Arabidopsis thaliana: one gene and its partners. The protein of the gene in region 2 interacts with the protein of the main gene of each other region in a pairwise test. Each region holds a gene or a part of one and is shown on either strand. Other genes may lie near its edges. The genes, in order: AT5G66830, AT3G57220, FZL and AT1G14670.

What was found.
Region 1: the proteins of AT3G57220 (region 2) and AT5G66830 interact in a protein complementation assay, tested with the Arabidopsis thaliana proteins (one large-scale study listed by BioGRID).
Region 3: the proteins of AT3G57220 (region 2) and FZL interact in a protein complementation assay, tested with the Arabidopsis thaliana proteins (one large-scale study listed by BioGRID).
Region 4: the proteins of AT3G57220 (region 2) and AT1G14670 interact in a protein complementation assay, tested with the Arabidopsis thaliana proteins (one large-scale study listed by BioGRID).

Annotation. Positions count from the first base shown.
Region 1 is NC_003076.8:26,688,508-26,694,196, forward strand, and holds AT5G66830 (F-box protein (DUF295)), read left to right. Parts: upstream 1-2,745; 5' UTR 2,746-2,796; coding exon 2,797-3,981; 3' UTR 3,982-4,182; downstream 4,183-5,689. Other genes in the region: AT5G66820 (uncharacterized protein), read left to right, coding at 590-657, 1,112-2,603; AT5G66840 (SAP domain-containing protein), read right to left, coding at 4,415-5,262, 5,354-5,468, 5,560-5,658.
Region 2 is NC_003074.8:21,171,450-21,178,400, reverse strand, and holds AT3G57220 (Glycosyl transferase family 4 protein), read right to left. Parts: upstream 4,007-6,951; 5' UTR 3,886-4,006; coding exon 3,518-3,885; intron 3,295-3,517; coding exon 3,207-3,294; intron 3,083-3,206; coding exon 2,991-3,082; intron 2,912-2,990; coding exon 2,793-2,911; intron 2,710-2,792; coding exon 2,594-2,709; intron 2,486-2,593; coding exon 2,358-2,485; intron 2,251-2,357; coding exon 2,164-2,250; intron 2,050-2,163; coding exon 1,989-2,049; intron 1,904-1,988; coding exon 1,863-1,903; intron 1,777-1,862; coding exon 1,656-1,776; intron 1,557-1,655; coding exon 1,497-1,556; 3' UTR 1,207-1,496; downstream 1-1,206. Other genes in the region: AGL16 (AGAMOUS-like 16), read right to left, coding at 510-691; AT3G57210 (uncharacterized protein), read left to right, coding at 4,448-4,553, 4,669-5,039; AT3G57200 (glycosyltransferase-like protein), read right to left, coding at 6,298-6,540, 6,625-6,712, 6,794-6,840, 6,928-6,951.
Region 3 is NC_003070.9:758,096-767,477, reverse strand, and holds FZL (FZO-like protein), read right to left. Parts: upstream 6,218-9,382; 5' UTR 6,158-6,217; coding exon 5,668-6,157; intron 5,593-5,667; coding exon 5,087-5,592; intron 4,969-5,086; coding exon 4,900-4,968; intron 4,466-4,899; coding exon 4,268-4,465; intron 4,180-4,267; coding exon 4,048-4,179; intron 3,499-4,047; coding exon 3,412-3,498; intron 3,322-3,411; coding exon 2,881-3,321; intron 2,780-2,880; coding exon 2,612-2,779; coding exon of another isoform or gene 2,547-2,611; intron 2,454-2,546; coding exon 2,223-2,453; intron 1,994-2,222; coding exon 1,878-1,993; intron 1,726-1,877; coding exon 1,425-1,725; 3' UTR 1,284-1,424; downstream 1-1,283. Other genes in the region: AT1G03165 (uncharacterized protein), read right to left, coding at 154-336, 1,098-1,115; AT1G03150 (Acyl-CoA N-acyltransferases (NAT) superfamily protein), read right to left, coding at 9,037-9,128, 9,219-9,279. UniProt on the Arabidopsis thaliana protein: Probable membrane-remodeling GTPase that plays a unique role in the in the determination of thylakoid and chloroplast morphology and regulates organization of the thylakoid network.
Region 4 is NC_003070.9:5,034,985-5,042,543, reverse strand, and holds AT1G14670 (Endomembrane protein 70 protein family), read right to left. Parts: upstream 4,969-7,559; 5' UTR 4,876-4,968; coding exon 4,724-4,875; intron 4,445-4,723; coding exon 4,404-4,444; intron 4,296-4,403; coding exon 3,710-4,295; intron 3,634-3,709; coding exon 3,496-3,633; intron 3,386-3,495; coding exon 3,229-3,385; intron 3,134-3,228; coding exon 2,649-3,133; intron 2,565-2,648; coding exon 2,345-2,564; 3' UTR 1,947-2,344; downstream 1-1,946. Other genes in the region: AT1G14680 (early endosome antigen), read right to left, coding at 811-1,683; NHX8 (Na+/H+ exchanger 8), read left to right, coding at 6,105-6,324, 6,421-6,471, 6,540-6,631, 6,707-6,784, 6,870-7,027, 7,110-7,211, 7,291-7,408, 7,494-7,546.

The DNA of each region.
Region 1 (5,689 bases), on a different chromosome or scaffold from region 2:
AATTTACCACGAATCTCGTAATAATAATAGTATAATACTATACACATAATAGTTAATATCTTTATCAAATTTAATAAGCTTTTAAAATATTTTTGATATATAATTCATTGTTCTGTTTGTAAATGTATTTGTAGCTCACTCTGCTAGTAAAATTAAATTACAGCTTTAGCCAATTGAACTACAAAGTTTACCACTTGAAATATAAATAAACGGTAAGTATATGTAAAACAAAATAAAGTAGAAATACAATCACAAAAACTAAAAATTTGTCTTAAAATGTCATTATGTAAAGACCATTTTAAAACAAAAAAAAAGGTAAAAAGAAGACGACTGAATAATATTACGAAAGGACCCAAGCCAAAAGATTAACAGTTAGGTCATAAGAGAAGGGTAATAAAGTAATTTAAAGGAAGAGTATGTCATCTTGTTCCTCTCCTTTAATTTTCCAGTCTATTGGTCCTCAGCCTCCCTTCTCCTTCAGGTGGCGTTGCTCTCTCGTCCCCAAGAAAATCGCTTCTTTTATTTTTTTGTTTACTAAATCTTCACATAATCTTTTTAAAAAAAAAAGTCCTAAATTTCAGATGATTCGATGTTCTTTTCAGACATGGAGCGAAAAACCCTAGCGATTACGCCTCCTTCCTTCTTCTTCCACCTTGGGTAAATCCTTCTTCTTCTTTCTTCCTCACTTTATTTTATCTTTTCCCGATGATGGGTTCTTCGATTTTCACGAAAGTTTTAATTTTTTTACATCAAGTTCGAATCTTTTGTACTACTCTGCTTCTTCTATCACTTACTTGTTCTGGGTTTTAGTTCGATGTTTTCATAGAACAGTTTTAATTCAAGTTTCGCCTTTCGCTATCAATAGGAATAGTTCCTTCCTCTTTGTCTTTTTTCTGTTTATAGAACTATTTCTTGCTTCTGATTTCTTCAAATGACATTCTCTCTTTTGGGTACTATTCAAATTTTCATTTTGTTTTAACCCTTTTTCATTTTTGGGTGATTTTTTTTGTTTCCTAGAATGTTTATAGCTTTTTAAGTAGTTGGTGAATCCCCAAATTAATTTCATTGTTTGTTAAACCTCTCTTATGTGTTTGTGTTTATGTGTTAACAGAGGAGGAGCATTTGGTTCATCAAAGGCGTTTCATTGTCTTCTCCTTCTCTCATGTCTATTGCTTTCATCAGTCAATACATTGCATAACTTAGCTGAATATGGTTACAACACTGGTTCTGCTGCTATGGAGTTTCAGGGCTTTATTAATGGTGAAGATTCTGGGAGTGTAGCAATCCAGAAATCTGACCAGAATGTTTGTCCTAGTTCACAGCTGTTTTGTTTCCTTTCAGCTTTAGGATCAGAGAATCGGTCTGATCCATTTGTGTTGGCTTGTCCCAAAGAATCACGGAGTAGCTCTGCTCTGATCAGAAAAAATCTATCTGGTGTTGTGTGGCTATCTCTGAAGCCTGTCCACATCATAGAGTTTCAGCCATTTACTGGATTCTTTCACATTGGAGACACTTGTTACGAGCCTATGTCCAAAGAGCTCTATACTAAGAAGACCACAAGGGAGTTAAGTATTACGGTTTCAGGAAAACAATGTGGAGGAAATGGTTTTATGGTGAACCATCCATGTGAAGGATTTTCATTAGAACCAGGGGATTCCATAAAGTTTCTCTTTTTCTACCAGAGTGAACTCTCTTGGGCATCTGGAGTTGCTGTTTTTGCAGTACCTATGAAGGCGACCGCACCTGTTTTGATGCTTAGTCTCTACAAAAAACCGGTCTTTTGGGTGCGGACGAAGAAATTCGCAATTGCGGTTCTTATTGCTGCAGCTCTACTCATTCTGATATTTTGCTTCAATGATCACTTCATCGAGGAGAACAACAAGAGAAACAATAGCAACCACATGGAGTCGAGAGAAGTTGAGAAACCATCTACGATCACAATATCCCCTGAAATGGATTCTCTGCTAAGATCCATAAGCAAAGAAAGCCTGCAAGTGTTCGATGAGGTTCCCAAGAACAGCAGCAGCGTTAAGCCAGTTGCTTCTTCACACGAAGAAGAAGCATCAGAAGCTGTGAATCTCACTGTAAAGACAGCGAAAGACAAGAAGAGGCGCCGTAACAAGAAAAAGAAGAAAGGAGGAATCAACGGATTAACACCAGAGTGCACAGATGTTTCAAGCAGTTACAGCGGAAACTCAACTCCTAGGTCTCCAATATCACCAGAACCACCTACTACTCAAGCCGCAACGAAGCTAGTAAAGCCTCCTACTAAACCGGTCCTATCGCACTCAGCAACGTTTCCGGTTTCAGGGGTTAAGTCAATGATCATACAACGAAGCTCACTGGCTCCAAATGTGAGAGCACCTGGAGCGAAATCAAGAACCGAAGTGAAAGAAGAGAAAGCGAAAGAGTATAGGTACTATGATATCTGGGGAGATCACTTGACAGGGCTTAATTTGATGGATAAGTTAAAGGAAGTGAGAGAAGGTAAAAGCTCAGGTTTTGATGGAGAGGAGTGTGAGAGTTTCTTTGTTAAGGGTCCTCAGAACTTGTTAGCAGACTCTCACACCAGGTTTGTAAGTTTCTGTAACCAATGGGGCTAACAAAGAAATAAAGAATGAAAAACAAAAATATTTTATATAATAATGCAAGGCCCAATGGGCTTTCTGAGCAGCCACCAAGCCATTCCATTAGTGAGATATAAACACAAGCAACGTCAAACCTAAATAATGAATGTCACGTAGACAAGTTTCGACGTCTTTATAAACTTGAAGGGCTTGGTTAAGATTCCGTCCTATGGCCTCTCCGCTACTCCCTGGTCCACCGGATCAGAGAAGAAATCTCGATTGGTGCTGGTCGAAGCTTCCTTCAGATCTCATGCAATTTGTATTTGACCGCCTTGGTTTTGCCGATTTCCAACGTGCAAAATCCGTTTGTTCATCTTGGCTTTCAGTTTCGAGAAATTCTCAGCCAAACAATCAAATCCCTTGGATGATTCGATTCCCCAAGGACAACAATCACTGTCTCTTGTTCAATCCTGAAGAGGAAGACAAGATGTACAAAACTCCAAATCTCGGCAACGATTTCGCAAAGAGCTCTTGTATCGCCAGTTATGGAAGCTGGCTTTTGATGCAACCTGAATCAGAATACATGGAAGAAGACTTAGACCATCAATGTAATAATCTCTATATTCTTGATCTTCTAACCCGCGAGAGAATCAATCTACCGATTCTCCAACCAGAGTTTGGACTCACATGTCCGATATTATGGACCGATGAGAAAAGCAAAGATCACCTAGTTATTGGAATGGCTCATGAAGAATTAGCCATTTCTTTCAAGAAAGGAGATTCCTCGTGGAAACAAATCCCAACCTTGTCAGGTATCGAAGAGTGTTTTAGCATGGTTTTTAAGGATCACAAACTTTACTGTCTGAGCAATTATAAACTCAAGGTCTTCGATTTCTCTGGAGATATTCCGGTCAAAGTTTTCAAAACTAGCGTAAGTAAGTTGTTAAATAATCCACTATGTATTTCCATGAGAATGAGACTTCCTGGAATTCCAATGAAGGACCAGTTGAATCACTTCAAGGATGATATGGTAGTCACTCTAGCCGGACATGTCTTAATTGTTAAGTGCCATCGTCCGAGTCTGTCCAAGATATGGAGCTTTGAAATCTACAAGATGGAAGGGAACAACAACAAGTGGGAGAAAACTGTTTCTCTGGGAGACGAGACAATTCTTTTGGATTTGGGTATCACAGTGCTCGCCAAGGACATGCAAGGGATCAAGGCCAATTCCATCTACTTCTCCAATCCTACTCCTTATTTTAAAGATCAATATGACGAAAACGAAATCTTCATATTCGACCTCGATTCCAACACCGTTGAACAACCGCACCGATCTGTTTCCTCTTCCTTTCCCCGCTCTAGAGCCCGATGGTTCTTGCCATGTTTCAAACGAGAATCATACTTCCTTCAGTAATTTGTCTTTTTTTTAATGTATCTACGTATTCTTCATATCAAGTATTGCAACATTTAGTAATAAAGAATAAAGCCAACAAACGATACTTGCCATATAGAGTAATAATTAAGCCAAGAACACCATCCTTGATTACAAGGTAATAACTTTTGAGGACGGTCTCGGACCCTCAAGATGAGAGTGAAGGCAAAAAATCACACCCGTAAAAAAAAAAAAAAAAAAAAAAAAAAAAAAAAAAAGAGAAACGGATGATCAAGAGAATCATGAGCCTAGAAAACTTTCTTACGAATCACAGACAAGGGTTGAGAACCGATGATCAGGACGCTTTCCTATGGCCTTAGAACCTGGAAATTGTGTTGAAGTAAGTTTACTTGCAAAAGAGACAAGTACCAAGTTTGTATGATGATGAAAGATATTACTCACGAGGTACGGTGTGTTATCGATAATTTGGTCTGTGATTGTCTCCTTCTCTTCTGTTGTTTACCATGTACAAGTCCCTTGCCCCATGGTTGTAGCTACTATTGAAGTTGGAATGGTAGGTCTGATGGTTCATGTATGGCCCTTGAGTGACCTCACTCTGCCTGTATGTGTCTCCTTCTCTTCTGTGGCTTATCATCATATGCGAGAAGTGTTCCAAGTCCCTCACTCCCAGGTTGTAGCCACTGTTCGAGCTGACATGGGGGTTCTGGTATGGTCTCCTCTGATGAGTAACCGGCACAGTGTGTGTATTGACATGTGGGTTGAATGATGCTTGTCCCTGCGGAGCATTAGAGGCAGTTCTTCTGATGTAGAAAGCTGGTGGTGGTCTTTGGTTTGTTTGGTTTTGCTGTGTTGGATAAGTATAGGAGGCAGGTGGTGGTCTTTGGTTTGTTTGGTTTTGTTGTGTTGAATAAGTATAGGAGGCAGGTGGTGGTCGTTGGTTTGTTTGGTTTTGTTGTTCTGAATAAGTATAGGAATGATAAGGAGGAATATTTGGACGAGGAAGATGTGAATTGATAGGAGCGTACGAACGAGGAGCATGTGGTCGAGGAGCATATGTAGGAGGTGCATGTGAACGAGGAGCATGTGGTCGAGAAGTGTAGAAATTAGCGGGATTCATATCTGTCAACTGTGTTGGATGATTCTTATGGCCCTGTGAAGGATTTTGGTTTGGAAAAGCAACAAGTGAATGATTAGCGGGAGTGTTTTGTCTAAGCCTCTGGGTTAGATTCTCATCTTTCTCGTTTTTTCTTGTCTTTACTTGACAAGGCTTCTTCACATGACCAGGCTTTTGAAGTCTTCCATCTGGTAACAGAAACAGAAAGATCACTAAAAGAAACCTCTCATATATATATAAACACACCTCTATAACAAAGAAAACTAAATCATCTCTCACCTTTTAGTACATAGCCTGACTTAATTTTCCTTTCTCTCATAACCTTTCTTGCTGCGGCACCACGGTTATGCTTTTCGTTAAGAACTTTGACTCTGTCTTCTTCATTTGGCCATCGCTGGAATAAGAAATGGAGCAACCAACTGATAAGCATATGCAAACCGGCAAGACTCATGACTGAATATGAAAAAATAGAAAAGAAAACCCACCTGCCTCAAGGTCATTAACCTATAAAGATTTCGTCCTTTGACTAGTAATGGATACAAAGGTGGCAATTTCTGTGTCCCCTCACACCAGAGCACTTCAATCTATGATAAAGACACAAACCAGATAGTTAGA
Region 2 (6,951 bases):
GAAGATAATGCAGCTCATTTTAGGTACATCAAACCCACCAACTAGTTGCCAATAAAGTAAATGAACAGTGAAAAGGAGACGATTCTTTCTAAATCCTCTCTAGAGTTTAGAGTTTTCTTCAACCACTAACCACTTTCTCCCCTCCTTTCCTCTTCTGATAAAGTTTCTACCAAATTTAGTATGTTTCAATAAACACCACAAGTCCCTCACAATCTATGTTCCACACAAATATCGTAATCATCTCCAACAACACAGAGAACACACTCTCATATTCCCCTTACAAAACATATTATCATTCAAACCAAGTGATTTCTTCTGCAAATTATCAGACTAAGTTGATCTACGATTCCTTCTCTAAAGCAATTGAATTTGCAAACAATTAACAAGAAATCGACTTAAGAAAGAAAAAAAAAAATCGAGATTTAGAATTTGCTACATCAATCAATCAACCAATTAGATGGACCAAGACCCAAAAAAAAAGTCAACCAAAGAGAAAAGAAAAAAGGTACCTGGAGCTGGAGAAATCGTAGAGCCTACCGGTGCTGGAGAAGATGATGACACCAACCTCAGCATCGCAGAGAATCGCAAGCTCCTTAGCTTTCTTCAACAATCCATTCCTTCGCTTCGAGAACGTAACCTGACGGCTCGTAGAGTTATTGATCCTCTTAATCGCGATCTTGCCCCTTCCCATTTCTGCTTCTATCACTTTTACACACAAACATCATCGTCAATTTCAAATCATCATCTCCTGAATCCAGGGGAGATTTTGAATAAAATAAAAAAATTGAACATTTACCTTTTTCAAAGAATAAACTAGATCGCGGGAAACGAGATCTGGTAATCCGATAACCGGAAGGGGGAGAAGAGAAATTGGTTCAGTTCAGAGATGTGGTTTTGTTGATCGAAAGAGAAAAAGGAAAGAGAAAGAGAAAGAGAAGAGAGAGCCACATAAGGAAAGAACATATGACAATTTGGGATATTTAGGGCAAAAGAGTTTTCTTACTATATAAACATACTTCGCTTGTTATGTTTTGACACATGGCATTCTATAAGTGGGTTTCTTTTCCGATTCTCCTTCTATTTTTTTATTACATTCTTTATTATTCTAGTACGACAGTAGTCTGTCTAATATTAAAAGCGCATTTTTAAAATTCAAAAATATATGTAAATGGACACTTCATTTAATGCATGCTATATTAGCAAAACTTTAATCTAAAAATTATTTAGTTTATTAATCAAAGTTATCAAAATAAGATCAGCATTTGTAGTTAAATTTAAATTCCAAGACAAATTTGTTCTGATTCATTTCATTGGCTTTATATTGTTGAGATACACTCGCCTTTAGATGAAAACTCTCTATATAAGTGAACTAAAACGATGATTCTAGTAGATTGTTGGACATGAAGCAAAACAAGTTCTGTGTTTGTATGATTTGTGAAGGCAGAGAGAGAGATGAAAAGAGGAACAGGTTTAGAGTTTCTTCATGTTGCAGAGATTTATTTGTACCAACCAGCTAGAAAATGCCTAAGCATGAAACAAAATGCGCAAGCAAGAGCCTGCAATAGAACACACAAAACACCAATCTTGTGATTTCTCTCTCTCAGAATAAACCAACTTGTATTTAGAGATGATAATATGGGCATTAACAAGTTTACCTGGAAAACAAGAAGATGAATACATAGAGACTTTTCTGTTTTCCTACCAAAAATCCTCAAGTAGACGTTCACGAGTGTCCCATCTTTTGTTCCTGTTAACAGTCCCGTAGCAGGATCATACCTGGTTTAAAAAAGAGAGAGGAAGAGTCATGTGTTGTTTACTTGTTGGCTTTGCCTCTTATGAAAAATGGACAAAAAATAGCTTACTTGGGGAGACGATGTCGTGGACATTTGACAATGCCAGCAAGCTGAAGAGTTATACAATAGCAAGTTAGATGCTTTCAAATGTATTGAAAAGTAACAGAAAGTGTGAGATGGAGAAAGGTATCAAACCTGCGGAAGTGACAGTAAAAAGTTCAACACTTGAGGAAGAAAAAAGATTAACAGGGTTTCACTGCAAAAAGCAAAGTTTCATAAGTAGTTAGTTAATTGAAGGCTCACACATAAGTTAAATGTAAATGATGAATCTAAGTACATTGCAATAAGGACGGTATGGTTAGAAGTATACCTGAAGTGACCGAGAATGCCAACAACTGCCATAGTCATTCCAGCAAAGACTGTGTAAGTGTCTCCAACAAAAACTGCAGAAGGGTACCTAACATCACCAAAGAGGGGACATGAACGTGGTTAGAGAAAGCATTCTGCTTTGCTAGTTTACCTGATTGATTTAAGAGAAAATGACTTGAAAGATCCAAAGATTACCAATTGTAGGCAAGCATTGCCAAGGATGTTGCCATCAATGGCTGAGTAAGATAGATTGAGAAGGCATGAGCTTGATGATACTCAGTATCAACAGATGCTCCGATTTGCATAACGTTGTGTATCAGAATCTACAAGTTACTGAGATTTATCATAACTTTACTTACGAGAAACCAACAGAAGGAAAAATGGGACCAAAAAAATGAAGCATTGCGACGCATTTTGACAGCAGAACTTACAGCAGCTGCAATAACTACGGTTTGACCGATTTCAAGGCCATTCAAACCAGCGTGAATGTTAATAGAATTTGTGCAAAAGACAGCCAGTAGCGCCATATATAACTTATATATACGTCCTGCCACGATAAATATACAACTAAGGAAATGAATTTCAAAATAGCTATTGATGGTTTAACACTATATACAAGATGAATTGTACCTAGATCAAACACTTCCAAGCCAATATAAGAAACTAAAGGTTTCGGTATGACGATAGTTGTATGTCCAGCATAAGCCATCAACAGTGGAAGGGTTGCAAAAGATGGCAAGAGAAGTTTCCTGCAAATTGACAAGAGTTAATAAGAAAACAAAACTAAATCATGAATTTTTAATCCAACAAAATGAGAACTGCACCTACACTCTCCAAGGCACATCAAGGACGTCATCTACAAATCCAAGCAATATCATGAAGCAAATAGACGCCAGTGCTGCATTATACTCCACAAGCCACTGCACCGAGTCATTTAGCCAGATTGATAAATTGCATTCAAAGTAAATGAGCCAAGAGCTACCAAGTTCATAGTTCACAATAAATAAATGATCAAGCTTGAGCTTTTGAGACCAGGACACTTACCACCGAATCTTCAGTGAAATTAAAGAACTGAAATACAATCGCCACTATCAAGAAGACAATACCGACAACAATTCCCAATGACTCAGGCCTACAAAGAAATAAGATTGCTGAAAATAAGCACATCAAAAGACTTTAAGTCCCCTGAGATCAAATCAAGCGTAAACATCCATAGAACATCAATCAGAAAATGAGACATCTCATAGTTTTCCTCCTATACAAAAAATCAAATCTAAGAGACATCCATTTCTAGAAAAACGCTGAACACTAATCTGAGAACTAAACAAAGACAAATCTAAGAAGGAAAAACATACACTCTAACTTCTCCTTGAGGAGTGCCTCTTTTGTTGATATCAAAACCAAACATATTACGCCTCAGAACGTATCTAGCAGCTACAGGAATCAACTTGAGTGTGACAAAGAATCCAACCAAGCTAAGCCCAGCGTTAATGAGGATCGGACGCTTGAGCTCATTGTCAACATTGTAGTGGAAACAGAGAAGGTAAAGATAAAGCGAACACAGAAGCGAAGAGATCACGAAAATCACGCCCAATTTCGGCGGCGCGAGCTGGAAATCCTCTCCGGAAACAGAGGTCTTCTGAACCGTCGGGGAAGATGCAGGTTCAGGTAGAGCTAGTTTCTCCGAATTGGACACTGAAGGAGTTCTCTTACGAGCAGTCATGGCGGATCCGTTGGCTATTTCTGGTTCCCCGCCTCTGGATTTGCTTCTTCCACTTTTCGCTGAAGCTTCAAAGCCTGTAGCATTTAATTACAACTTGCCCACGCACAACAATACGACATCGTATCAACACCACTTATTTATGAATTATCAAAAAGGCCCAAAAAAGCAAAGTATAAAGAAATAAATAAGTCTATGGGATTCATGTGAAATTAGGCAAATTACTAATATCTTTTTTTTTTATATAATCAAAGACTCATAATGTAAGAAAGAAGTTAACAAGATTACTATTAAGAATGCATCCCATAGACTTATTTAACTTCTTTGATTATCATCTCTCTTTGTGAAATTAATTAGGCAATTACTAACTATACTATCTTTTTTTTAATCAAAGTGTAAGACTCTTGTCTTCCTTTCTTCTCTTTCTTTATCCACTCTTGCTCTTCTTTTTATTCAAATTTCGTTTTTGATTTATCAGGGGACAAACTTAAAGCTCTCTCACGTTAAGAGATACAACAGGACTCTGGCTGCTGGTGCTTGCTGTTTCTACATTACTTTGGTTGCAATGCAGCCATCTAGTGGAAGGCGTTTTACTTTTCAGACTTCCGTTTATGAAGAAGCTTGTGGCCGGCTTGTTTTGACCTCCTTTATTGCTGAAAGACGTCGTCCAGGTAATTAAATTATTATTATACTACATGTGACTCCTTACTTGGGTAGGCGTGTTCATTAACACATCATTATTATTATTACAACAACTAGTATTTCATTCATCATTGTATATTTTAGGGACAATCATTAAAACGTCGTTGGAAAGAGAATTCTACCGCATGGGTAGCTTGCCTGAGTTCCCGCTGGAGAACCCTTTCGAAAACAGAAACCGATTTTACGTGGTGGATGATGAATCAGAGCTGCGAGCCAATGACTGGATTCGTCTGTATCTGGAACTTTCTGTTGCCATATCTGATAGGACCACCACGGATCATGATCTTTCCGGCTTGAGGATTGTGTCAGTAGCCATTCAAACTATGGAGCCACCCAGTGAGTCCTCTCTCACTGCTAAGAATGCAACTGTCTACATAAGGTACATTGACTTTTGTAAGGCTCGCTGTGGTCAGAACCTTGATCGCATAGCTGTAGTTAGAAGAAACCTTCAATGAGACTACGGGATGCTTTAGTCTCGACGGTTGGAATCAAAGCTCAGATATCATACCCAAAAAGAAGGCTACGAGTAGCAAACTTCTGTCCCAGCGTTTAATTCACAAATCACGGCAGATATGGCGGCGGCGGCGCACAAACCATGGCGTTGGCTTGGCTCATCGTCTTCGCAAAACAAGATCCATAGAATCAGCCATCCGAAAGTATACCCAAAAAGGGTACGAGTCTGAGCGTGAAACTTCTCTTACGGCGTTTCAGCATTCCCAAACCATGGCGGATATCTAAACTTTGACGGCGCAAGGCTTACAAAAACCATGGCGGTTCAAAATTTGGATTAGAGATGATATTATTAAACTTATTAATTTGGTAAAATGTTAAGTGGACTGGTTTCTGTGTGTTGTACGGTTTCCTAAATGTCTCCACCTTGAATAGTTTCTGTATGTAATAAGAATTTATTTTAGATTTCAGAGTTATGTATCACATGAAAAAGGCACAAACTATAAAGTATTTAAGAATATGACCATCTTTTTCTTTTGTATCAAAGTGTAAGAAAGATTTTAACAAGAAAAGTTTAAACAATGCAGTAACTACTAAATCATACGTCCAACATGTATAAGTTCTTTTAAGTTGTTCTTATTGGTTGTTATGGTCCACAACCTTATCAGTACTTGTCAATGCCTGGTTGCTACTAATTTGACTTAAGTACTCTCTTCTAAATTATTGCTCATGTTCTCAGTCTGAAACATTAAGTTTCTGTAAGGTTTAAGTCAACATGAAGCTGTTTGTGACATCAGCTGAGTGACTCATAAGAAGCTAAAGATGTTGAGAAACCAAACTTCACATTTCAGGAAAACCATAAATCTGAAGAATGGAAGGTAGAGAGATAATTTGATACTTGATGACAGGAGTTCTGGAAACGTAATTGCAGAACCTTCCTAATTGATAAGGACCTAGCAAAACAGAGCGAGAGGAAAGAAAAACCACAAGTGTGTAATGCTGAGGATCAATCATGTACATATGAAGATAAAGGAGCACAAAAGAAGACTAGTAGTCCGATCTGGAAGACAATGATTTTGTATTCCAAGTTATAGAATCATCAAGTATGATACAACCCCTGCTATATGACATTCCTCTTCACCTGTAGAATCATCTGTGTGTATAACCTAAACGAAAACTTTCCTAAATGTACACCAGAGCTCAGGTTCAAAACTGTTCATAAATCATTCTAAAAAATCCCACCCTTTGTAAACACGTTTCATATTATAGTTCCATCTGGGTTGCTTCCAAGCCTGGAGGCGATTGTGGTGGTACCGCTGATGCTTGGGATTCACCGTCAACATCAAGATGGAATTCCAACACCCTCCTCTTACCAGTTTCCTGAGATGATTCTCGGGTAATGCCTGATGTCGAATCAGCAGTTGAAGAGTTCTTCGAAGGAGACTTGTGAGCTGCGATTACCACAGAGCTAAAAACACCCGCTTCTCTTAGCTCTTGGATTATAACCTGTAAGAGATGATAGCTTGTGGAAAACCAAACACTGATCGTTCATGTCAAATAAAGAGCGTGGTTTGAGTTTGTGGAACTAACCATGGGAGCATAAATGCGGGTTAGAATTCCCTTCCTAAGGAGTTTCAACTTCAATTTTTCATCAGTCCACACAACATGCTCTCTGTACCTGTATTAGTGAAGCTGGTTAGATTGCAGCAGTTGAAAATGGGATGAAGAGCAGTGATTATATTTAAATCTATATTAATACCATTGCAGCATTTCCTCTGAACTCGCTGTTGAAGCAATAATAAATGCCTACATGTGATAGCCAAGAGCTGTGACTATATATTTCGGAAAACGATGCAGGAAATATAAAGCAAAAAACTATAAATCTCCACTCACAGCTCTGTCAAACTCTAGCATGAA
Region 3 (9,382 bases), on a different chromosome or scaffold from region 2:
GATGTCTATTACAATTATTTAGTTAATGGAACAGTACACTAAAAAGCTACGGGTAGCAAAAGAAGTTTCCATTTCAAGTGAGAAAAACTTTTCAAAACTTCATGTGTTGTGAAAACAAAAGTTTTTTGGTAATGAAAACTCGACAAAGACCAGTTAAAAACGTGTGTAGTATAACTTACTGGTAAGTAAAGCTATAAGCAAGAATCTGTACCTTATTTTCTCTCTCTCTAGTGAGCCCTGACCATCCGAATTTCGCATTCGCCAATCGCTGTGTTTCCGTGTGTTTTCCCCCTTTTTGGTTTTAGATTTGCCTAAACCAATCAGAACAAGAGAAACCTGGAAACAAGAACCAAAAAAAGTGGGCTTTCTCTGCATCATCATTCCACTTCTGGTCCCCAACTGAAAAGGACAATCCAAAGCTAGATCCCTTCAAATTTTCCTTTTTGTTTTCGAAATTTTCGCAATTTTTAATATTATTTTGGAAGTCTATGTTTCTTTCTGATCTTTAGCAACAAAGGAAGGTGGAATCTGTTTCACGTTTACACAAAAACATGTCAACTGGAGATTTTCTCTTTCCCTAACTTTTGACCATACAGTATGGTCCATACTTAATATTCTCTCTTTGTTTTTAATAAAATAAAAGGTTTGGTTATCAAGCATATATGTCATTAGCTTAAAGCTATGACTTTGTTTAGAAAACTTAGGAGGACCATATGGCAAGCTTTTATACAGTGTTAGACTTCTAACGTTAATTCTAAACAATCTCCAGTATCAAGCATTAACAAGGTTTATTCTAGCACCTCTGGATTTTTAAAACTTCTCGAACCAATCCTTAACTAAAAAAGAAATTCAAGCGTTTTATCTTTAGAAATCACAGCTAGCATATGCTGAGAATTACTCTCCATGGAAACTTATACTAAGATTGTTTTTTTCCCTCATATTTAAGCCACTAAAGTCAAAAGATTAGTACATTGACAACTAAGTTTAGATGCTCTATGCGGAGAATCAATTTCATATGAATGTATCAAGCAATTCATGAACTCTAGGAGACCATAAAATCCAATTGACAGAAAAAATGAGTCAACTAACATATTTACCTGTGATATGAGGTACATGTGCAGGTCAAAGATCAGAAGAAAATTTTCTCCATGAGTCTCTTGAGCTTCCAACTCATCCAGCGATTTGTATCACAAACAATCTGAAAAAGAAGCTAAAAAACGTTATACCAAAGTTTCACGCCCATAATGCTATTGTTTGGTTCTTTCAAGAACCTCCCCAATCTTTTGAATTCGCATTCAAAAAAACCATCAGTGAGTCCATTTCAAGTCGGAACTGGCAGGTATTATTCATTATGACAAAGTACATACACTTGCCCCCCACTGAACAATGTCAAGAAGGGAAAACCCGACATTGTGTTGGAATAGCTAAAGTCTCATCTCGTCTCGTGATACATGAAGGTTATCAATATCAACTTGTAGCAACTGTAATTTACTTCTAATATCTGATAATTCTTTCTGGATTCCTAAAAGACGATCAAGTCTTAGCTGAGCTTCTTCTCGATAAGGCTTGGCAACAATATTCACAAAGTTAACTAGATTACTCGTCGCATCTGAAAGATCTTTTTGCATAGCGTCTTCGAGCTGTTGAGCCAACGCATCAGCCACTTTATTCACCTTACCAATTATAGCCTGTCTTCGATATGGGAAGTTTGCTATAGCCACATACCTGTCACATAGATTATGTTATGCATACAACCAGTCTTTCTTAAAAGTCATAAATATGCCTCTAGTTGCAAGAAAAAAATACACTAGGCGTGATCTAAGAAGGTGGAGTAATGAGACATTGGGAAGAGGGGAAATTTAGAGCAGTGTTATTACCCTCCAGCGGAGCAAAGGCCAAGAGCAAGAAGATCTTCCAGTGTGGTCGGTAGCACTGAGGTTAGAAGTGATGCAGACAGTCCTGCAGCTCCAAGCCCACCAACTGTCACAAAGAACTAGAAAAGGCAAGCAAAACTCAACTATGTCAAAAGTGTCACTTAGATTGATTCTTGAATAGCGAGACGAAGTATCTGGGAAAATACGGTACTGAATTAACATCTCCGTCAGATCATAGGTTCGGATTGAACAGATGACACAATTAAACAATGATGAAGATCAAGACACTTTAATCGACTGAATTCTAGTTAGAACTTAGACTAAAAGTATTTAATACTTGAAGCTCACCACTTCTCGAATATCTTGTTCCAATCGTTTTGATGTGGTTCCGGCACTCAAGTTCTGTATTGTTTTCAAGCTGACTTTATCAGTTTTCTGAAGTAAGTCATATGTGTCTATGCCCAATTGCGTTTTTGAATTGACATATGTTGGCCATTTGTTTTCGAATGATTTCAGAGACAGACTCCCTTCACGGGCAGTATTTGATTGTAGCCATTCAGCATATTTTCCAAGCAATTCCTGCAAACAGTGAAATGTAAAGTCAATCAGGTCACAACAAGACATTGTTAGACAATATTTACTTTCTGCATGAATAGTGACTATATCTCAGACCTCATATATATGACCAACATGTCCCCAGTTAGGCCAATACTCAAAGAATAAAGCATCACACTTACTTTCGCATTTGTGAGTGCTGGAGCGAGTATTTCACCTTGAACTTTGGATGTAGCTGCTACTGAGGCCGATTTTTCCCCTTTGAACACGTACGAGATCGCAAGATCAAGGCTTGATAGTCGCAGGGTAGTTCCTATCAGATCAACAACTTGTAATCTGGCATTATCAATCTGCGATAAAAGCCAGAGTACAAAACACAAAAAAGCCAAGTTAGAACAATCCAATTTCCTCCTTCGTGATTCAACAAGATAATATCTAATAGAATTTATACCAACGAGAGAGCCTGCCTTCTCCAAGAAATGCTCTCATATTCCATCTTAAGCGCGTATTCTTTAGTTCGACTGATAATCTTGTCTGCTGAAGCCAAGTCTTCCCTAGCAGCTAGGCAATCTTGTCTCACAAGAGCTTCCACAGAAGAAAGGAGACGCTCAGCAATCGCCATGGGTGTCTCCAATTTAAGCCTTATTCTCTCCATCCCGGTAGCTGTTGAGCTATCCAAGAAGCTATAAAGAAATTTCTCAAGTTCATTGAAGCTCTGGACTCTCCAATTAGAACCAGGATCTGCGATCTCAAGATCATCTCTGCCAACCAAAGAAGCTGTTGAAAGCTTCGCCTCAAGAGCAGACCGTGCGGACACCGGATACAATATCACATTTTCTGTATTAAGCAACTTCCGTGTATTCTCTTTAACAAATGAAATAGCTTCCTCAAGCTGCAGCAGTAAAATTAATCTTTAGTCAAGAAAAATCCAGCAATTACAGAGACTATCAAGGAAAAGACATAAATATTGTTTCTGATAAACCTCACGAGCATCACGATAGATATCAGATTTATTCAGAATAAACACAAATTTCTTTTTCCACTGCTGTGTGTACCGGAGAAACGCAACCTGACAAACGCAATGAGATGTAAATCAGCCTACAGTAAAATCAAGACAGCAGGAAGCTCCAGAGGTAGAGATAGAAATGACATGGGTATGATGACATTGAGAAGCTTATTCCTTCTTTTGAAACTTTTTCAGATTTTCAAAATAAGAACCAAATATTCATAAGGTTAGTACTTCGTAGATGATCATTTACATACAATTTGCCATGGACGTAAAATCAGTTTTGCTGTACCAATAACAACTCACCTCTCAAATGTATTGGCCTAAGCTTTACCAAAATATGGACCAACAGGACATACTGGTTCCAGCAATAGCTATAACACTCATTACTTTGAAAATAAATTAGTCTAGTTTAAATTTATAATCAACAAAACCTTGATATATGCATTCAACCTAGTGACAACTTTCCCTTCCCTACACAAGGTCTTGATGGTCTATACATGACTTAACTAACTACTTTCGTGAAAAATAGATCTAACAAGCTACTTAGGCAGATACATATTGAGCAAAAACAACAACAACTAACATGCCAAGTAAAACGGTAACTTCTACCTCACTTTCAGTTAAAGGGCGGTCAGCAGAAAGAACAAAAACAAGCAAATCTGCACGTGGAACAAATTCTTCTGTAAGACGCTGTTGCCTTTGAAGGATCACATTGGTCCCAGGTGTGTCAACAATATTTATCTGCTCGAAAGGAGAACAACCCAAATCAATTCCTCCAAATAATTAGTAAAAATTCAGGACTGCGATGGTAGAATTTTGAATTACTCACATCCTTAAGTATTGGTGCAGGAAGATAGCATACATATTGGCCATCTGGATGTGTTTGGCAACGTTGTTGCTCTTCGGATTCCAAGTCAGAGTAGCACAGAAACGTGATTTCATTGGTAGTGGGGACTACCCCTTCTTTCAGGTATCTCTTCCCAAGAAGTGCATTGATAACCGTTGATTTTCCAGAGTTAAATTCCCCCTAGTACCAGCAAATTGTGGATTCCAATTAATTATCCATACAAAAACTATTTTGAATCATAAAGGCAACTTGTCCCACTTAAAACATCTTCCAAGAACGGCATACTCACAAGTCACAAGAAAGCGAAAAAACTATGTACACAAGCAGATGGTACAGTTAAGAAATATGCAGTTCCCTTACAACCAGATCCATAAGCAAATTAAGAAGAGAAGCATAGACAGAACAAAAGAAGAAGCGAAACATCATAGTCATAGGCGACGAAAGAAGATATTGAGAAGCACTAAAGGACAAGTGACTAGAAGCATGCCCATTGTATCTCAAGCTATCTAGTGCTGGCAAAAGTGTGTAACTAAAATGTTTCTGGAATGAATATAGAGCTAATACCAATGCAAATTCCTGGAATCACAATTTGACGGAGTTGAGTGCAGAATTACCACTATAACCATCAGAAACGGCTCATCGATCCGAGAAACAGCATCAATTAGAAGGGAGACTTCCTCCATCTGTTAATGAAAAATAGTCGAAGAAGTAAATGAAACCATATTATAACCACACAAAAACCTACTTAGAACCATTTCAAAAAATTGACTTCAACTACCAAATGTTTGAAATAAAAATCACCAGTGGAGCCGCCTTGTGGATGATTTCAATCGTCTCTCTCAACACAGATTTCTCCATTTCTACTATTAGTTTCTGTTTGTCCTCTAATTTTATGAAGCCAGCAGAATTCTTTTTCTCCGGCAGTTCATTCATATTTTGTGTCTCATGATTATTTACAACATAAGCTCCATCAAGACTCTGGCGAAGAGCTACATCCCTAGAAGAACGCAAATCTTTCAACGAAATAACAAAACCAGAAACACCTGATTTCAGTAACTGCAATTCTTCTTTAGCTTCTTCATTGCCTCTGCAAGTCACATATATCGGTATTTTCACGCTCTTCAACAAAGAATCCGCCACTTGCGTATCTTCTTCACCAGATCCAAGTATAAGGAAATCAGCACCCTCGGAGCTTGAGGCAATTAGAGCAGAATCAACATCCTTCACAATCCGAGCTACCAGTGGAAGAAGTACCGAGTCGGGGTTGGATCCCATCAATGTGTTTCTCGCCACAATCGCCGGAAGACCTGTACATAGCATTGAGAGACAAAACTCACTCTATGAGAAATTAAATGCTAAAACTGAATGAAATCAGTTGTTACCTTCGTCGGAGAGAGCAACACCACTAGCACCAACGGCGGAGGCGATATCAACACGTTCAGCGATCAAGAGGTAAGCACGGCCTTTGACAAGTGATTTCAGCAAACAAGCCGCCTCGTAGAGCTTACCAGCGGTGGCTCCGCCATCAATCACGACGATTTGAACCGATTTAGCTAAAGCACGGTCGACCAAATCAAGAGTCTCTTCACGATTCCCGCTCATAACCTCGTCGGCGTCTAGCCGGAGAAGTAAACCGGGAACGGCGAGTTCGGGACGCTTGTAACCACCAGGATAAAGAGTTCGCGGCCTAGAAGAAGAAGTCTGATCGGCGGATTCATGCGAAATGTTTCTGATCGAGAGAGAAGAAAAACGCCTATGACGTGGAGGAGTAAAGGAGGATAACTTAAAGCACCGGCCAGGAAACGGTGGAGATGCGGCGGAGATAAGAAACGGTGACGTCACACATTGCCGGTGAGAGATTAGAGTTCTCATGGAGAGAGAAAGAGAGAGAGTGAGATACCTTCGTCTGTGTTTCTGATTAGTTTTCTTATCTCTTAAATATCCTATTGGCCCATCCCAAAGCTATAAGACGGACGGCGCGATTAATTACTTTTCAAACACATGAATTAACGTTTTCACATATGTGTTCATATCCAAAAGGTCCAAAGTATACCACGAAAAGGGAGAAAAACAGATTTAAATTCGTGAAATCCCTCTCCCACAATTAAATTTACTTCTTCCAAACAAAGACAAACGGCTTGAACCAGTCAAGTAAGTGATACGGCACCACTAGATGTTCCAGAGCCTCCATCTTTTTTAATACGAAGAAGATTTGTCCTTTGTGTGTATGAATTTAACAAGTTTTAATTATAGATTTGTGTGTGTATGAATTTAAAAACCTAGTACGTAGCATCAGGGAATGATATCATAGCTATTTTAGTTGAGCTTTCAAATAAGAGATGATCAAAATTTAGAACTTCTAAGAACATGAACGAATAAACAACTATTTTCTTTTCAAACCAACTAAGGTAGATGGTCACTGAAAGTATATACATCAGATAAAAGTTGCTTGTTATTCCAGATGAAGTTGGACCGAGAAAAAAAAAAGTTACTTGTTATTCAATATGTTTGGATCTTTGTCTTGCAGATTGCTATATAGGGTTGATAATGGGCTTCGTTGTAATGGGTATACAGTGTATAAGAATCGGCCTTGTGCAACCAATCCTAATATGTGTGTCTCATTAAGGTAAGTGCTTAAGATTAGAAGAGTAAAACACTTGACTTATCAACTATGTCAACTAAGGGTTCTATATTTTTATTAAATAAAAAATAATTGAATATTTTTTAGAATGATTTAATAAATTTAATGCTATTGTTTGATTTAAATGTATAATTCACCGCGAGAAGAAATTTTATAACTCAAATTTTAAAGTTTTAAGTTGTATTTGTTTATTTTGTTAAATGTTTAATATTGTATAATTGTATTTTGATTGTTGTTTCTCGGATTTCACCCGTAGTACATCATCCCATATTAATATCGAATCAAACCCGTCAATTCTAAAATTTCACCCGTGGTAGTATTTAATTGTATAATTATATTTTAATTGTCATTCTAAGATTTCACTCCTAATTCTATCGCAAATTATTATCAACCCAAACCAGTCAATTCTAAAATATCACCCGTAGTACACCATCCCATATTAATATCGAATCAAGCCCGTCAATTCTAGGATTTCACCCGTGGTAGTATTTAATTGTATAATTATATTTTAATTGTCATTCTAGGATTTCACTCCTAATTCTATCGCAAATTATTATCAACCCAAACCAGTCAATTCTAAAATATCACCCGTAGTACACCATCCCATATTAATATCGATTCAAACTCGTCAATTCTAGGATTTCGCTCGTGGTAGTATTTAATTGTATAATTATATTTTAATTGTCATTTTAACTCCTAGTTCTATCGCAAATTCTTATCAACCCAAACAGTCAATTCTAAAATTTCACCCGTAGTATAAAGTTTAAATATTTATAATATTTAAATTTCTTATAAAAGAATCAAAATGTGTTTTAAAAAAATTAAAGTTTTAAGTTTTTTTTTTTTAATATTGTTAATTTTGTTTAGTGTTTAAGATTATATAATTACATTATGATTGTCATTATATGTTTTTCTCCATAGCATACTATCCCATGTTATTATCCACTCAAACCTGTCACACCATATAACCCCGTCCCGTGAAATTAAACACAAATTTGTCATTTTATTATAAATTTCAAATATTTATAAAATTAGAAACTTCAAAAAAGATTAATATTGACCCAAACTTCATCATTGAATTTTGAGTGTTATATCTAAGATTTCTCTCGCAATATATCGTCCCGTATTAATATCTTTTATATTGTTTAAATTTCTTGTAAAATTTAATTTATAATTTTTTAAACTTTTTAAAGTTTCAATTTTTTAAAATAAATAACCCTAGGAAACAAACCATTTTAATTTAAAGATAAACTTTATAAAAAGTTTTTAAAATTATAATATTTAACTTTTGATAAAGTTATAATATTTATAATTTCTTGAAACATTTTAAAGTTTCAATTCTTTAAAATAATAAATCCGAGTAAAATCAGATAACTATTTTAATTTTGGACGCTTGATAAATCAAGCTTCCTGCTCATTCGTAATCAGAATCATTTTGGTCCTTTTATAATATGGGTCTGAACCATTGTCCAATTTTTCTAAGCGATGTGGGACATTGTACACATATTATTTCTTCATAGGTTGAATAATATATGTCCGTTTAAAAAACTTTGAATTACATCATATTCAGAAAAAAATATAATATTTTATTAACTATATATATTTTATATAAATTCAAAATAAATAAAGTATAAGATCAAATAAAAATGAAAGAAGAATTATATATTTATGTTTAAATTAGGTAGAAATATTTTAGGAAATTGGTTAAGGTAAATAAGAAATATGGTTAGTTTAGAGATATTGTTTATATTAAATCATTAATTTTCGTTTTTAATTATTAGTTTTTAGGTAACTTTTCCAAAAATTAATGTTATCCAATATCAGAACAGAATTAAACATGTTATCCAGGATCCGAACAGAGTTAAACCGGGTAAAACCCAACCATTTGAATTAATTGTTGAATTATGGCTCAAATCTTCAACATTATCTTCAAAAATCTCCTCCAAAAATGTATATATAGATTAAAGTTTAATCAAAACTAATTATAAATTTGTGTGGAAGAAAACGAAACATAATAGTTCAAATACGAAACAACAGGAATAGTAACATCATCTAAAGGCTCTTGGAGAAATTTTTAATGCAGATAACAATTGTGAACCAAGTTAGGGTCTTAATCATACTCTAATTCATCAGGTGTGATAGGTCTCTTGAGAGGAATCACAGACTTTTTCTCTACATCTCTTGATAATGCCTTCCTCATATCTGTTTTTTTAGATCAAACGATTTAAGATTTAAACAAAAGAAAAAGTTAAGCGCGAATCATAGATAAAAAGAAGTTAATCAAAGCCTCACCTAATCCATCTTCCTCTCCTGAATAATAGCGTAAAACCCGCCTATAAATTATGTATCCAAGCTGCCAGAAAAAGGAGAAACGGTTTGTTTCATCAAAATGGCCATCAAGAAGAAGCCTATGAAGGAGATTTGACACTAATAAATGGAAATATGTAAAATGTGTG
Region 4 (7,559 bases), on a different chromosome or scaffold from region 2:
GGTTAAACAAAAACGGGGGACTCTTTAAGGGAATTTTTTTGCCCTTCTGGTGAGAGAGGAAAGAGAAACCTGAGAGAGATTGGGGAAAGAGAAGACGCAAGGAAGAGAGAGGAGAGAGACTTTTTATGAGAAAGAAGATAAGAAAAAAAAAACACAAGAAGAGAGAGAGATCTCAAAGATAGGGAAAGACAGCGTTTTTATTTTAAGTCCCCGACTCGGAAGAGACAACCCTAAAAAATTGTTCTATTTTAAAAAAAGAAAATATCTTCTTCTCACAATAATATAAAAATATCTAAAGGGCTTTCTATGAAGACTTTACCTTTTTTACGTTTGGTAAGTGAACGATCACAAACTGATTAAGAAAGCCATTTGAGAAGAAGACAAAAACCAAAGCCCACTCTTTTTAGTCTTTTAGACATCTTTTTTAAAGCCTAAAGAGATTTCTTGGAAACAAAGAAGATGATGAAGAAGCCAATTAGAGACTTATATTGTACAAAACAGATGGTAAAAACACAACCACATTGGTTAGCACACTAATGGTCAAATGAATTATACTAGTGGTAGAGGTAGACCATTATGGAAATGTATAATTTTTAAAATTCAGTGTTTCCAATGTGAGAGAGAATGTTCCAAGTCTCATATTTTATACATATTGCATTGTGCTTATAGTCAGAGCTTGTCCCTCACAAACATTCCATTACTGTTTTCTCTACCAATCTAAACAATAGCCAGAACTGCTCATTCATATTCATAATAATTACCAAAAGAGATTCAAACAAAACCACTCATCAGCATTGGATCTAAACTTCATCAATCGATAAATTCTTGGCTGCTCAATTCAATCCTCTTCTCAATCGGACTACTCATCATCTTGATACTCTTTCTCTTGTTGAACTTGTTAGATCCATGGCTTCTCTCTGCAGAACATTGCCTCAAAAACTTGCGGTTTTCTCTATCCAGCTCTCTGTTTTGCTCGCTCACAAGTTCAACTTCTTGCTCTGCTTTAGCAAGATTCATAATGAGACATTCTTTCTCCTTTTCAATTCTCTTCACCATTGACACTAAAGACACAAACTTTTGCGTCGTTGGCTTTAACTGATCCCATTTCCTCAACAAAGTTTCACAACATTTGTCTTCTTCACTATTAGCCTCCAAGAAGATACGCCCCAATGATATACTCTCATCTTTACTAACGAACGATGCCAATATTGAATCAACCAAACAATCTTCTTCAGATTCGATCCGGCTCTTGATTTCATCAGACATTTTTCTAACTTCTTCCTCCAATTCACGAACCCTAGATTCTGCTTCTCTAGCCCTTTCGTCAGTTTCGTTCCCGAACTCCATGAGTGATTCACGATCTTGATGATAAAGAAAGCATTCTTTTTCCCACTTCTTACACTGATTCACCAAATCCTCGCGCTCGCTTCCCAATTTCTGATTCTCTTCGACGAATTTCTTCAGCGACTGGGCATTCATACTCGCTTCGGATCTAACGAGATCGATTACTTTTTCTTTCTCTTTCAATCTCGAAACCAGAGATAGATACTGTTCACGGAGACGACGCTGAGATTCTTCCGCCGTGTAGAGCTTTTTCTGGAGAACGTCCATGGATATCGGAAGCCCTAAAGAGTGATCGATTGTCTCTTTGATAAAGTCATCGACTTCTCGCGAGAGATCCATTTAGAATCAACAAGAAATCGCAGACAGAGTTCGCTCGCTGAAGAACTCTAGGGTTTCTGAATTCCAAAGGAGGAGGATTCGAATTTCAAAATTGAAATCAGTGGCACTAATTATTGGTCAATGAAACCATTTATAGTTGGGCCGAGATTTTGGCCCATTAAAGAGCTAACACTATGTCCTTGTATGTCGGTGGTATCAACCTTGGATCTTTCAATTGGATCCAAACAAGTACAAAAATATGCAATTTACTTCAATTTAGCTCTCCAATATTTATTTAGTTACATCTTCAAATTATTATTTTTATTGTGCAGTATAGACTGAAGATATATATGAAGGAGAAAATATGTGTGTTTTGAAATTTATTAGATACAAAGAAACTCGAATTCAAAGGTATTGATAGTCTTTTACAATAGGTAAAATATATAGAAAGGATACAAGTAATTTAATTTCTGTAGCCCAAAATAAAGAGAGAAGAAGAGAGACTCTCGCTAAAACCTCTAATGAGAAGAGATGCTTCTTTAGAAAATAATCAGACATTGTCTTTGTGTCTCTCTTCTTTCTAACAACCTATCTCTTTATCTTCTTTGTTCTAAGCAAAATTCGTAAGAAGGCAGAAGAAGAAGAAGGAAATCAACATAAGAAGATTGGTGTACAGACCTTCTTACTCGCATTTGATCGACCGGTAAATGTGACGGACAAAGAGGAGGGCTGCGCGGAAGCCAACTGTTCCGAGCATTAAGAAGAATCCGTAGCAAATGCAAGCCATGTATCCGAAGAAAAACGAGGTTTGCATAAAACCCGACATGTCTGATCGTGCGTAGTAATAGTATAAGCAGTATGCGTAGATAAACAAACCGGTCGATCCACCACATAGGAATGATCTGCAATAGAAATTTGTAGAATCAGACTCAAGTTCTCATGGTCAGAGAGAAAAGAATAGAGACGATTAGCTGAGTTTAACGAACCTCCACCACCATTGGTGATCTTCAGCAGCGAGTTGGAAGTAAGTCAAGGCAACGGTTATAAAAGCAGTGACGATGATGAGAATGATGAAAACGATGAATAAGATGCTGTAGATGGTGTAGATCCGGTGACCCCAGACACTAGCGAAAATGTAGTAAAGCTCGATGTAGATGGCACTGAAAGGAAGAAAACCAGCCATGGCCATCTGAGGAATAGCACTTCTGTACCAAGGGAGTGGTGGAATCTCACGAGGATATTTGGTTGTACGGCATGGTGCTTGGAACTCTGCTTTGCTGTTTTTACCCGCGATACCACCCAAAACGAGTAAAGGTGAGGTAACTAGAGTCCATATAAGGACGATCACCACAATGGTTCCAAAGGGTAATGCAGCGGTTGCAGTGTAGGTGATGGCTACGGTGTTAAGGAAGCAAAAGGTTAGGAATAATGGGCCACAGAAGAGACATCCAGTGAGTAACAAGTTCCTCACCTGCAATAATGTCAAAAAAGGGAGAAGTTGTTTATTTCAGTTGAAGATGATTTTTTGAGAGACAGGGATGATTCTCATCATGTGTAAATATTTACCCAGCTTTTTCCTTCAAGTTGACAGTAGAAAGAGGCAGATGTGTATCCGGCAATTCCAGAAGTGAGAGCGTAAATGACCACCAAAGCGGTAAAGAGTGCTCCTCGGTTGTATGGGTAGAACACTCCAACAAGAGCAAGCATGAAAATAAATATGGTGCTGATGACATGGAATAAAAGGAAAAGCTACAGTTAGTTACAGTAAGAAGAAATGCGGATATGGATGAAAGTGTATCCAGATGGAAAGTATTCGAGTTATGAGAGACTTACAGCGTGAACAATTGAGTGCCACTACCGAGCGATGCAGCAAATAAAGAATTGTGAGTAGGGAACCGAAACACATCGCCATGAATGTACTTCCATCCAGTTTCCTCTTGATCATCAGCAGCTTCCTCATCTTGAGCATACCTTTTAAGCATTGGAATAAGGTTAGATGAGATAGACAAGTGTAAAACAGTCGACAGTGAGGAAACTTGAAACTTACTTCATGAAATCGTTCTTGAGGACTCGCATCAAGATAGTTGCAAGGAATCCAGTCAAAAGAAGGACAGTGACACAGGAGTTAATAATGGAGAACCAGTGGATTTCCAAATGATGTGGAAGAGAAGAAGACATAGAGTACTTCTCCATTCTTTTCTCAAAAGGAGTCTCAGTTTCCTTCCACTTCACAGTGTACATAAACTCTGCATCAACTTCCTTATCCTCAGTGAGATCCACAAGCGAATGAGGATCCATTCTAGCACTGATCTCGATCACACGGTCCTTATTGTATAGAATCTCAAACTGAATGTGCTTGTACAAGAAATATTTGAATTCACTCGGATCAGATTTGATATCCTTGTCAACCTTTCCAATGAATCCCCAGATAGGTAGATCATCATAGTACATCTGGAAGTAGTAGTCCTTCTCAACAGCTTTTCTGAACTGTTTGACCTCTTCTTTACTCAACTTCTTGTTGCAGTATACCTCAGACTCTTTTTCATCTCTGAAGTTGAGCTTGTATGGAGCGCTAACTAGCCGATCCCCGTTTAGAACCTCGCCAAGAGCTTCCTTCTTCTCTTTCACACCCTCTATAAACCATATTCAATAATGGGATGATCGAATCAGGAGATGTCACACAAATCAGTTGCGGCTTAAACACAAATCGTGTGATTAAGCTAGTAAAGATATAAGCATACCTGGGATACAGAAGGGAAGATCAAAATATCGATACGTCTCACTGCAATCATCATTGAACAAAACCAAAATCAGTCATATAATAGTATTCAAATCTAAGACAGATCCATCACATAAACGAAAAACATTCCAAATGTAGTTTCTTCTTTCACTCTTTGGTTTTAACATTACGCATTTTGCAGTGTACTCAGTTATCAATGTCGTTACTCAATTCAATAGCAACAGATTCAACAATAAACGATCAATTTATCATCCTCAGGCTTAAGAATGGGAAACAACCTCAGATCTGAAGCTCAGATCTAGAATAGATGTTTCCGTTTACCTTGGATTGTGAAATGGGCCGACCTTGTTGGCGTAGAGAGGAACGGTGTCTCCTTCCTTGTAACGGTGGTCGGAGGCGTCGGATCTGACATAGCCGGCGCCGGAGAAGAGGATAGCTCCGACAAGAAGGAGAATCGTCGTCGGTGTCCTCATTGCGTATTCTGCTCAAATCGTGAGATCTGAGTAACTTTTTTTATTTGGGAGAAGAGGGAGAAAAATGGAGGAAATAACGACAATATTTATATACCAAAGACTTCAATCAAACTCGAGTCAGCTACACAAATTTTAATATTTTTATTATTTTCTCACTTTATTTCATAAGAAAAATACATAAAAAAACTATAGTCAATAATACTTTATACCATTTCCAACCATAAAAATAAATATCAATGTCTATAAATTCATAAATATATGGCTTTTGAAACCAAGACTAATTATTTATAACAAATGTGAGTGGCATTTAACAAAATACAAATCATTTTCCCATATGTAGGCTAATTAAACCAAAAAAAGAATATGTAGGCAGTGAGCGAACTAATTGTTCTGCCAAACCTATGTATCTTATAGTGTTTTTTTTCCTTGGGTCGAAAATCTTATCGTATTAACACTTCATAAATTTTGAATAGTTAAATTATTACTTCTTTGTATTAGATGTGGAGTGGAGTGACTATTTTTTTAATATCTTTTGTGGTTATAGTATAGTGAATATGAAGAATGACGAATGATGTTACACGAGACCAAGTTTTTGAAAAAAAAAATATATGAATCTGATAATCATTTTTCCTTTACGTGCGTTATCGTACGTAATTGCTTTGCATGATCTCACGTCATGACAGCAATTATAGAAACTAAACAATTTAAAATTCTCATTTATACACAACGTGCATCGTTTTGAGGCATGGATAATTTAAGGTTTTCGATTTATAGATTGAATCAGCAAGAAATTACAATGTAGCCACTTATACCAAAAATAAAATCAAACAATTTGAACAAGATACATTGAAGTATGGATCAAAACAAACAAACAAAAGTGACACTAGTTAAGTTTAGAGACTAGAGTGAGTCGGTTTTGTTATTTCATAATTTGGTTCATGTAAATATATGTACCCTTCATTTGAACAGAGTAGTATAATCCAGTAACTACATTCATATCTAGCAAAGAAAACAGAAACCTAATCAAAAACGTATTAAGATTTCTCAAATTTTCGTTCAAATTAGTGATAGAAAACCAGACGTAACCGAAATAAAACAGGTCAAGCCAAACCAGACTAGATTCAATCTTGGTTCACTCTTAAACGAAGCAGATTCGGTTCGGTAAAAGCATCTTTGACCGTAATCACTGGCAAAACGAAAGATTGATCGTTTGCTTCTTTCTACCGGAGATGACGAGTATAATCGGCGCGGCGTTGCCGTACAAATCACCGGAGAAAGCAATTGCATCTTCTTCGTATTCAGCTGAGAACGATTCGAGTCCTGTTGATGCTGTTATTTTCGCGGGAACTTCGCTGGTTCTCGGCACCGCTTGTAGATATTTGTTTAACGGCACTAGAGTTCCGTACACCGTCGTTCTTCTCGTCATCGGCATTTTTCTCGGATCCCTAGGTCTTATTTGTTTGCTCATTAAGCTTTATAGCTCAGTTTCAATTTCGTGGAAGATTTTAGAAAGTAGTTAAATTTTGGATTTTTTTGCTTCTGTAGAATATGGAACTAAGCATAACCTTGGGAAGCTCGGCCATGGAATTCGTATCTGTAAGCTACTGTATTTTCTCTTCTCCATACTGTTAGATTACGAGCTCTAAAAAATGGCAACTTTACAGGGAATGGTATCAACCCTGACCTACTTTTGGCTGTTTTTCTCCCTGTTCTTCTTTTCGAGAGCTCATTCTCCATGGATGTGCACCAGATCAAGGTTTTTACTTTCCTGATTGAGCTACTTCCTTGGCTGTGTTGGTTCCTGGTATTGATTGTTTTACATCATTGGTAGAGATGTATGGGACAAATGGTTCTGCTTGCTGGACCTGGAGTTCTGATTTCCACCTTTTGTCTCGGAGCTCTTATAAAGGTACTTTAACTAGCTTCAACATTTTCGACTGTGATTAAGTGAGCTTCAATTAACTTAACAATTTTTTCGAGTTATGCTCTTGTAGCTTACTTTTCCATATAACTGGGACTGGAAAACATCATTGTTGCTTGGAGGACTTTTAGGAGCTACCGACCCCGTGGCTGTTGTTGCTTTGCTAAAGGAGCTTGGTGCTAGTAAGAAGATGACCACGTTAATTGATGGGGAATCTCTCATGAACGATGGGTAACCATGTCAAACTCTTATGTTTAGCATCAAGGTGATGTTATGTCATATATGATCAAGCTTAGTTGTTTGGATTATTCAGGGTATCGGTTGTGGTTTTTCAATTATTCTTCAAGATGGTGATGGGGCATAACTCTGATTGGGGTTCCATAATCAAATTTCTTGTCCAAAACTCATTCGGAGCGTATGGATTATTTTCCTTTGTTAGTAGTATTGTATGTCGCTGTCTTCTTTTCTCCGCTTATGTTGTTCTGGTTTTTTAGTGTAGGCATTGGTCTAGCTTTTGGAATTGCATCAGTTTTTTGGCTTAAATTCATATTCAATGACACGGTGGCTCAGATCACTGTAACACTTTCAGCGAGCTATTTCGCCTATTACACTGTATGCTCTTCTCTTCTACATAACTTAGTCCCCAATGGAGAATCTTAAATCTCTAGGAAACCTAAGAAATTTCTACTATGTACAGGCTCAAGAGTGGGCTGGGGTTTCTGGAATTTTGACTGTCATGATTTTGGGGATGTAAGTCGTGGTA